Linked DNA regions of Sus scrofa. The protein of the gene in region 1 binds, or shares a complex with, the protein of each later gene. Links are inferred from orthologs where the notes say so. Each region holds a gene or a part of one and is shown on either strand. Other genes may lie near its edges. The genes, in order: MED4, MED18 and MED12.

Region 1 (2,934 bases):
CAGCTGCAGCTCCAATTTGACCCCTAGCCTGGGAACTTCCCTATGCCAGAGCAGACAGGAAAAAAAAATAATGTGTATGTGAAATATACCTGAATATGAAAGTTAAATGTGCTTAATTTATAAGATGACTCTTCATTATATAACATACGATATATATATCTCCTGTTAACTTTCCAGAGTTTTTTTTTTTTTTTGCTTTTTAGGGCTGCATGTGGAAGTTCCCAGCTATGGGTCTAATCAGAGCTGTAGCCATTGGCCTATACCACAGCAATGTCAGATCTGAGCTGCAACTGCAACCTACACCACAACTCACAACACCACCAGATGCTTAACCCACTGAATGAAGCCAGGGATCAAACCCGCAACTTCATAGTTCCTAGTTAGATTCCTTTCCACTGAGCCACAACAGGAACTCCCAGAGTATTTTTTAAAACCCAAATTCTAGGAAACATTGAGACCCAAGGGTTTTGGATGAGTGGTTATAAAGATGTACAGATAACCAGGTAAGCATGTACACAACAATTTGATTTGAGATACAGTGGTAAAATTCCAAACAAGTGTATTTATTTACAAAAAATACAGTAATTACAAACAGTACAAATTGAGGCAAGTTCTCCTGTGACAAAAGCTAACAGCCTTCACTTTCAAATGAGTTTTCTGTTACTCTGAGCTATGTTGCATTTTCAGCGATCTACTGCCTTTTGTTTACGCTTTTCATAATAACAAGAGGTCTATTAGTGATGTACATGGGTCATGTCCCTCAAATCTTATTTCCAGAACTACTATGTACAACTCCAACTAAGATGGCACTGAACTGACTAATCTTTTTATTCCAACGGTAAATTTTGTTTTTCTCTATTCCCCTAGTGGTTCAGAAACGAAACCATGATTTTTGGCTTCAAAAAGTCCACAATAATTTTTAACGATGGCACACTTTCACTACAGTATCACCTGGCTTTTAAAGGTTTGCTGCTGTTTAAGAAGCCGATTTCTATAATATTCAATTCTGTATGCTTTTTTTGTCACATTTTCTTTAATCAGAGTCACTGCTACTGCTTGAGGAGTCTGTTGACATGACCTCTACGTCATCTTCATTTTCTTTATTGTGCCCTGGAGGCTCCAACAAAAAGTCATTACTGTGATTTGGTGGTAACATATTCATTGCCATATCATTTGACTGCCACGGATACTGGGGGGCAAGAACATCTGAAGAAAAGAAAGCCCATGTGAGAACATTTCAACTCAATTTACTTCTTAGTTACTCTTTCCTTCATGCAAATAAAATGAAGTAAATTTTTAAGGCTGAAGTCTAAATACACATTTGACCAAATTAATGAAAGATCAAATATATCAAGGAAAAATGTGATGTTTTAGTAACCACAATCTGTTTATTTTTTTTTAAATCACACTTTACTATAGCCACTATTCATAGTCAACTGCCATTAATTTTCCTTTTACAAGACATTCACAATTTCCAAATATTTCATATGTCTGTATATATTTAAGCACATATAATAGGTCATATATACTACTCTCCATATATTCCCTCGTGATATAAACAGCTAATATATGTACTATACTAAAAAAGGGGCCCTGTATCTATTATTACTGCATTTGAAAAATACAGTTCTTGGAGTTCCCGTCATGGCCCAGAGAAAACGAATCTGACTAGTATCCATGAGGATACAGGTTCAATCCCTGGCCTCACTCAGTGGGTTAAGGATTCAGTGTTGCTGTGAGCTGTGGTGTAGGTCGCAGACTCAGCTCAGATCTGGTACGGCTGTGGTATAGGCCAGCAGCTACAGCTCAGATTCAACCCCTAGCCTGGGAACCTCCATATGCTGCTAAATGCTCCAAATGCAGCCCTAAAAACAGACCAAAAAAATACAGTTCTCTTTACCATCCAGTAGTTAGTGTATTGTTACTAGTCAGTAATTCTTTAAATTCTCCTTGTTCATATTGCTAGTGTGGTTTCTGCCTCCTGCCTGGATTGTGAGTGGCTTATGTCATATGATACGGTATAGTCACAATGAAAAATGTGATTCCAAGGGAAACTAATGCCCAATGAGTTCTCAGTTTACACCTTGAATAATTAACAAAAATGGTGCTTATAAAAAGCATTTTTAGTAACAGAGGGACAGCCTTACAATGAAATGTCATGCATTATCTAGAGCATTTATAACAACGTTAAAAATACAGGGGGGAGTTCCCGTCATGGCACAGTGGAAACGAATCCAACTAGGAACCATGAGGTTGCTTGTTCGTTCCCTGGCCTTGCTCAGCAGGTTAAGGATCTGGCATTGCCATAAGCTGTGGTGTAGGTCACAGACACAGCTCAGATCTGTGCGTGTGGACCAGCCGCTAGACCCCTGGGAAACTCCATATGCCACAGGTGTGGCCCTAAAAGAAATAACAAACAAAAAACGGGAATAAACGAAATATGTAAAATACTAAAAGTAATTGCTCAAAAAAGCAATTTTTTCATGGTTTTAAAAAAAACTTTAAAAATATTCTGCCAGGTCAAAAATAAAACAAGTCGCCAAAAAAAAAAAGAAAGATAGGGAACGTAAAATATAACAACAGTACAAACCTGTATGTGAAGCCTGAGGAAGGGTGAAGCTCAGTATGAGTCTCACAAAAATGACATTCTATTTAGTTACAAAAAAGTCCATAAAAAGCTTTGTTATTCACTTTGTTAATTTGAGGGTTATTCATAAGAGTGTTCACTTGGTATTCTTTAAACTGAACATACATCTTACTCTGTTTATAAAGCATGTTTCATTTTAAAAAGCTAAGTTTAGGGCTTAGTTACTGAGAAGTCTAATGCCGGAGGAAAATGACACATTAATAAATGAGAAAAAAATTCAGTTTCTTCTAACTTCATAATAACCTCCATTTTGAACAATCTTTAAGCTGTTAGAAAGTAGAGAGCAG
Region 2 (3,755 bases), on another chromosome or scaffold:
AAATTACTAAAATAGTTCAAAGGATGATAAACCAAGCCATTGCATGTGGAGAAAAGACATATTTAATATATATTTTGGAAGTAAAATAAACAGAACTAGAGATAAGCTATAGGTGAGAATAAAGTGAAAAAATGGAGATTGATTCCTGAATTCATAGCTTGAGCAACTGGTGAATGACAGGCACTTACTAAGATGGAAAAGACTGAAGGAGGGACAGCTGGAAGAATGAAAGTTAATAACCCTACTTCGTTCATATTAAGTTTTTTTTTTTTTTTTGTCTTTTCTAGGGCCTCTCCCCAGCATATGGAAGTTCCCAGGCTAGGGGTCTAATCTAGGAGCTGTAGCCGCCGGCCTACGCCAGAGCCACAGCAACGGTGGGATCCAAGCCGTGTCTGCAACCTACACCACAGCTCATGGTGACGCCAGATCCTTAACCCGCTGAGCAAGGCCAGGGATCGAACCTGCAACCTCATGGTTCCTAGTCGGATTCATTAACCACTGCACCATGACGGGAACTTCCATATTAAGTTCTTAAATGGATAATTCAAAGTCTAAACTTTTTTGCGAAACATTATAAGGCCTCCTGAAAATCATTACACTGAGTTTTGAGCTTTCTCATCTGGGCAAGTTACTTCAATTCTATTTCCTGATCTACAAGAATTAATAATAGTATCATAAAATTATCATATGATCCATTAATTTCACTTCTGGATATTTAACCAAAAGAATTCAAAGCAGGATCTTGGAAGAGATATTTGCATACACATGTTCACTGCATTATCCATGTTAACCAAGAGGTGGAAGCAACCTGAATGTCCAACAACAGAAGAACAGATAAAGAAAATGTGGTATATACATACTATAGAACATTATTCAGCCTTTAGAAAGGAGATCCTGTCTCGTGTGATAACACGGGTAAACGCTGAGGACATTATACTAAGTGAAATAAACCAGTCATAAAAAGACAGATACCATATGATTCCACTCATATAAAGTTATCTAACGTAGTCAAAATTAGAAACAGAAAGTAGAAAGGTTTGGAATTCTCCTGTGGTGCAGTGGGTTACTCATCCTGTGTTGTCATTGTAGCTGCCAGAGCTGCTCCTGTGGTGTGGGTTCGATCCCTGGCCTGGGAACTTCTATATGCCGTAGGTTCAGCAGAAAAGAAAATAAAAAAAGAAAAAAAAAAAAAGAAAGTAGAAAAGTTGTTGCCAAGGGCTGGGGGGAGGGGAAAGGAAGAATGAGTACAGAGTTTCAGTTTTGCAAGATGAAAAAGTTCTAGAGATTGGCTATACAACAATGCAAACATATTTAACACTACTAAATGTTATGCTCAAAATGTTTAATGCTATATGTTTGTGACCATAATTAAAGCCAAATTGAAAAAAAAAAAAAAAAGAGGTGCCAGAAATTATGTAGCCTTTGTATATTAGCCTTTCATCTCCATGGAACCTGAACAGAAAAGAGGAAATCAGGTAATCTAAGCTCCCTAGTTCACTTACCCTGCAGCAGGTACTCCATCATGTTAATGGTGCCCCCGGTGACAGGCATCATAGTGACTGGAGGTGCCTCCATGCTATCTGTTTAAGTTGAAAGCAACAGAACCGGATTCAGAGTCCCAGTCAAATAAAGCACAGGACACACCTGGAAAAGAGTTATGCTTGTTAATACATCAGAGAGATGGAGAGACACCAGATCTACCTGGGTCATTAGCCTTAACATCAAAAGATTCATTCATTCATCCAGAACTTTTTGAACAACTTCCATAAGTCAGTTTCAGGAATTGATGATACAGAAATACACAAAGGAGGCCTGATCATGGAGTTATAATCTTTCAGTCTCAAGGTCTGAAACCTTCAGTTTCAGAATTTCCTGTGCAATAAGCCATCAAACCGCTGACCCTGGGATTCAATGTCTTCCTTATAAAATGAGGTCGACATTTAACCCCCAAGGCTTTGTGGCTCAGATGACACAATAGCCGTGAAATAATAGAACTGAGAGGTGACTCCCCTTCAATTTGGAGATGAGGATACTGACACTTTGGGTGGGGGTTGGAGGGAAGGATACAGAGCAAGTCCATGGCAGAGATAAACCAGACAAAAATCTAGGCGTTCAAAACGCCTTTGAAAGCGAGCCAGACAGAAGTGCGAAGTTCTTCTGACGATTGAGGTCCTCCTACCCCACCATCGACGCGTGCCTACTCACACCAAAAACACACCTCCGCGCGTGTTCTAGCCTTTTCTGGCAAAGCAGGGAACTGAAGCCACCAGAGCACCTCGGAGCTTTTTAGCGATAATTAGCCCCCAGCACTGAACTTGAAGACCCCCACCCCCCGGTGGAGTGCAACACTTTCTCCCCTCCACTTCCGGCAAAAAGTCTCCGTCGCGCAAATCTTGACATCACCATTCTGCGACGTAAGGGTGCCGGGAAGGCATAAAAATCATCTCTGCGGCCTGGCAAGTAGAAGCGCATGCGCAAACTGCGATTCTGCGTGGAAGAGGGCGGCCTTCCTGAGCGCGTTCCTCGGGGCGTGAGGGGGACCTTGACATCAAAGGCAGTCCTCCCGGAAAATATTTTCCTTTTTTCAAGTGTGACGGCCTGGAGTTGTTTTTGTCAAGGAATTCTTTTGGAACTTACAGGGGGAAAAGAGAGCCGGGGGAAGAGAGCTGAAGAAAAAAAGAGATCATAAAACCAAAACTTCTTTTGGTTGAGTACCTGAAGATAAGAAGGAAAGACATCTTTTACTGTTTAGCAGACTGTTCTGAACAATTAGGGAACTCAGCAATACATTTGATATTTGTTCACTCTTCTGTGTTTATTTTACCTCAATTCAAAAATTTTGGGAGATAAGTAAATTCAGCTCATTTATTGAATGTTGCTTGTGTGTCAAGCATGTAAAATGCAAAGAATGGAGCTAGAGTATGGTGGTTGAGGCACTCCCTGGAGCGAAAAATTTAAGGGGCACCAAAACTCCTAACAATTCAAAAAATTGTAATGCAATCTTTTACGAATTTAATGTGGAAAAAAAATCCTTAATGAACAAAATATTGGAATTTTTGATCTTCACAGCAGCCCTGTAACCCAAGTATAATTATTACTTAATTTTACTAATGGAGAAACTTAGGCATCAAGAAATAACACACCAGGGAGTTTAGACTGGGGTACAAATTTAAGCAGCTGCCTGATTTCAGAACCCACCCTCTTAATTGCTACACATCTTTTTTTTTTTTTTCTTTTTAGGGCTGCACCCTGGCATATGAAAGTTCCCAGGTTAGGGGTTGAATCAGAGCTTCAGGTGCTGACCTATGCCACAGCCACAGCAATGTGCGATCTGAGCCGCATCTGTGACCTACACCACAGCTCATGGCAATCCTGGACCCCCAACTCACCGAGCAAGGCATATAGAAGTTCCCAGGCCAGGGTTGAATCGGAGCTGTAGCCCCTGGCCTACGCTACAGCCACAGCTGTGCCAGATCGAAGCCAAGTCTGCAACTACACCACAGTTCATGGCAATGTTGGATCCTTAACTCACTGACTGGGGCTGGGGATGGAACCTGCATCCTCATGGGTACTAGTTAGATTCATTTCTGCTGAGCCATGATGGGAACTCCTATACAGTCATTTATAATTCCAGTTTCCCCTGCTGTAATTTATACTGTCTTACTCATTTACATTTTTAAACTTAAAAAAAATATTACCCACATTTTATCTGACATTTCAAAAGTAGGATTAAATTAAAAAAAAAAGAATAGGTA
Region 3 (3,655 bases), on another chromosome or scaffold:
TTTTACTTTTTTTATTTTATGATTTTTATTTTTTCCATTACAGTTGATTTACTCATTCAGCTTTAAAATGAGAATAACAGGAGTTCCCGTTGTAGCTCAGCAGTAACAAACCCAGCTAGTATCCATAAGGATGCAGGTTCGATCCCTGGCCTTGCTTGGTGGGTTAAGGATCCAGTGTTGCCATGAGCTGTGGTGTAGGTCACAGACGCAGCTTGGATCCCGTGGTGCTGTGGCTGTGGCCTAGGCCAGCAGCTGTAGCTCTGATTTGACCCCTAGCCTGGGAACCTCCGTATGCTTTGGGTGTGGCCCTAAAAAAAAAAAAGACAAAAAAATGATAACAATACCTCAACGAGGCAGTTGTGAGGATCAAATAATAATAATAATAATAATAAAATGATGTGAGAGTGCTTGGTAAATAAACTATGAAGCGCTAAGCAAATCCTACCCTCATCACTGGGTAAAGGATCCTCAGATTACTTCAGGAGCCAGGAAGAGGGGACTGTACAGGAAGAAACAATCTAGGGTGAGGAAAAGCCAGCTCACCTCCAGCTTGCTGCTGCTGCTGCCCTCAGCCTCCTTGCGCTCAGGGTCATCAGCAGGGTCATCAAAGGGAGAGGGAGGCCGGGGACCAGGGGCTCCAAAGGCAAGGTCCCCTCGGGAGATGAGGGTGCAAGTGTACATGTTGTGGGAGAAAACATCGTGTCGAATCAGTTCACAGAAGAGCAGTACCAAGTTAAAGAATTCCACCCGCTCACTCTCACTTCGGGGGTCCGCTGGAGGGAGGGAATGAGAAAAGATGAGTAAGGGAGCATGGAAGACATGGGCAGAAAGCGAGAGGGACACATCTAAGGTAAGATGCTCCTAGGGTACCTGAAATAGGCAGGAATAGGAATGACTCAAAACCCCCCAACGCCCCCCAAACTGTTGAGGGACAAAGTATGCTTGGTTATCCTACCTCCTGCCCCCCCATCTAATAAAGGAACACAGCATTTCTGCTATTTATACATGAAAACGCTCCGATCCTAAGCACTTGTTTTTATTCTACTCTTTATTTCTCTACTCTGTTAAACTGTAAGATGATCAAAGACTAGAATTATGTCCAAAGACATTCTGCATAGAGCTCAAGCTAAGATTATATCTCAGAAGGCCTTTCATTATGCTTTCTGATGACAGGGGTGGGTAAGGGAGTCTAGGCAGAGGTAACCAGAAAGTAGCAGGGGTCCATACTCAGCATGGGAGCCTGTGTGTCCAGAAACTGCAGGAGGACATCCTGGAAAATGGGAGCACTGGGTGCAGAAAGGGAGCCAGAGGCAATGGAACCCTTCTCATCTGCGGCTTCTGATTCTCCACAACGCTATAAAATGAGAGGACAAACCATAGGGCTGGGTTTTATCTGTTTCTTCACTCATCCACGTACAATCCTTGAACAACTGCCTATCTCCACGTCCCCCTGTTGACTCCCATTTTCTTTTCTTTCTTTGTTTTTAGTCTTTTTAGGGCTACACCTGTGGCATATGGAGGTTTCCAGGCTAGGCATCTAATCGGAGCTGTAGCCGCCAGCCCACACCACAGCCACAGCAACGCAGGATCCAAGCCGTGTCTGTGACCCACACCACAGCTCACGGCAACGCCAGATTCTTAACCCACTGAGTGAGGCCAGGGATGGAACCCAAGTCCTCATGGACACGAGTCGGGTGCCTTAGCACTGAGCCACGATGAGAACTCCTTGACTCCTATTTTCTTTAGCGCCTCCAACTGCAGCCTTGATCACTTCTCTAACTCTGACACTGATCCACTCATTTCTATTTTTGCCTCATGTCCTCCACTTTCCCTGTACGTTCTCTAACCACTTCTTACTCTCACACCTTCAACATTGGTCCCACTATCAGCTCAATCTGGCTCCAGGCCCAGCTGCCACTCCCTGCCGGGCCCCCTAACCTCAGCCTCGATCTCTGCCTGTCTCTTCTCCAGCAGCTTGGCTACCACCATAGCGCGATGCCGACCAGAACGCTTGCAGCTGACAGCCCATTCACACAGTAATGATACCACAGCATCATCATCTGAGGAGATCTGGAGACCAAAGGAAGACGGAGGTGAGTAAGGCAGAGTTGGGGACAAAAAACTGAGTTCCAATTTCCCAGCGATTGGGCCCCATCTTAAAACATTCTAGGCCCAGTAAGACCATCTGTCTCTTCAGACATCCTCTAGTTTTAGTGCCTCACCCCTCCTTCCCGTCAAATGTACTGGTGCTCTTGCTGTTTTTCCCTCCTCTTCCCCGTCTTGCTTATTACCTCGTGTCCATCCTTGCTGGGCCCCAATCCAAAAATTCGGTTACAGAGGGAGTCAAGAGAGTTGCTGAAGTCAGAGCGCTCAAAACTATGGCTGTCCAGCACTTCCAAAGTATGGAGCACCCGTCCAATGGTGAAGCCTAAAGAGGAAAAGCGGTAAAGGGGACTTAACCAGAGGCTTACTCTGACTCTCAGATCTATATGTCATTACCATCCCCACCCTTTCCTCAAACACCCTTCTTACTGCCTGTCCTCTGGCACCCACCTGCAGTAGCTTCCTGGCACTTATCAAAAGACCAGCGAACCTCAACGGCCTGTCCTCGCTCCTTGATCTGCTGCTCGATCTCCCGCAACTTTGCACGGACCTGCCAAAAGGAAGGTTTTAAGGATGGAGCAAAGCATACAAAAAGGCTAGGGCTCCAGGCTAAAAGCATAGTAGTAGGCTCCAAGTCACTAGTTCTGAAAGAGTAACTTCAGCCTCTATATCCAAACCTGCGGTAAGCAGGCTACTGGTCCAACTTACCTGCTGAGTGAAGGCACTGTTGCCCTCTGGCATGGGCAGGTTGGAGGGGGCAATAGGCAGGTGATCGAGTGGTGAGCCAGTCTTGATTCGGCTATCAGTCAGCGAGTAGTGCCAAACCAGGGCACTAGGACAACACAGGAGGATGGTCTGCCAGACAGGAACAGCTAAGTCAAACTCGGTTACCATGGCTACCTTTCCAGAAGCCCATCATAAGACCCAATGCTTCGATTTCCAATCCAAAGTTATTCTGAGTCCCTAGGGTGGCATCACTCCATCTCTGAGCCCCTCCCCTCATCCACTCTCCTCCAAAGGCTTTGGGCCTACTATGTAGACCTGGAAGGGAACTACCTGAAAAGGAACTATCGCCCCATGAATGAGCAGCCAACAATTTCCAAGCAAGTACTCAGTGCCTACTCTCACCTCCAATTTAGAATCCCCCTATTTTCCAGGACAGGCACCTAATTCTTCTCAAGAGGTCTCTTAATACTTCCATAGGCCCACCGAGTACCTACCTGAAGGATACAGCTGAGGCCAAAAACCAGGGGTCGGTGCTGAGGACACATAAGCAGGTCACTAAAGGGTGTAGAGGGTGTGCTGCTAGTTGGGGGCTGAGGAGCAGGGGTGGTGGGTAGTGTGCTTGTTGACTGAGCAGACATCACATGAGACGAGTGACTGCTCACACCATCCAGCTGCAGGGCCAGTCTCCGGGTACAGAAGTAGGCAAGGCGGCGGGAGAGGTATGCAGACTGAACAAATTCCCCGGAGTACTGTGAAGACATGACGATCAAAACCCCCCAGTTCTTTCCAAGAGACACTGCTCTCACGTCTTACTCCTCCTCACATC

Evidence for each region.
Region 2: MED4 (region 1) and MED18 share a complex: the UniProt entries of both Homo sapiens proteins name them as parts of the mediator complex. The link is inferred for Sus scrofa from reciprocal best matches to the Homo sapiens genes MED4 and MED18.
Region 3: MED4 (region 1) and MED12 share a complex: the UniProt entries of both Homo sapiens proteins name them as parts of the mediator complex. The link is inferred for Sus scrofa from reciprocal best matches to the Homo sapiens genes MED4 and MED12.

The regions. Positions count from the first base shown.
Region 1 is NC_010453.5:19,564,524-19,567,457, reverse strand, and holds the end of MED4 (mediator of RNA polymerase II transcription subunit 4), read right to left. Parts: intron 1,207-2,934; coding exon 1,034-1,206; 3' UTR 543-1,033; downstream 1-542. UniProt on the Homo sapiens protein: Component of the Mediator complex, a coactivator involved in the regulated transcription of nearly all RNA polymerase II-dependent genes.
Region 2 is NC_010448.4:85,382,736-85,386,490, reverse strand, and holds the start of MED18 (mediator of RNA polymerase II transcription subunit 18), read right to left. Parts: upstream 2,407-3,755; 5' UTR 2,206-2,406; intron 1,645-2,205; 5' UTR 1,576-1,644; coding exon 1,503-1,575; intron 1-1,502. UniProt on the Homo sapiens protein: Component of the Mediator complex, a coactivator involved in the regulated transcription of nearly all RNA polymerase II-dependent genes.
Region 3 is NC_010461.5:57,153,737-57,157,391, reverse strand, and holds part of MED12 (mediator of RNA polymerase II transcription subunit 12), read right to left. Parts: intron 3,579-3,655; coding exon 3,324-3,578; intron 2,959-3,323; coding exon 2,812-2,958; intron 2,654-2,811; coding exon 2,554-2,653; intron 2,429-2,553; coding exon 2,292-2,428; intron 2,071-2,291; coding exon 1,939-2,070; intron 1,355-1,938; coding exon 1,228-1,354; intron 774-1,227; coding exon 544-773; intron 1-543. UniProt on the Homo sapiens protein: Component of the Mediator complex, a coactivator involved in the regulated transcription of nearly all RNA polymerase II-dependent genes.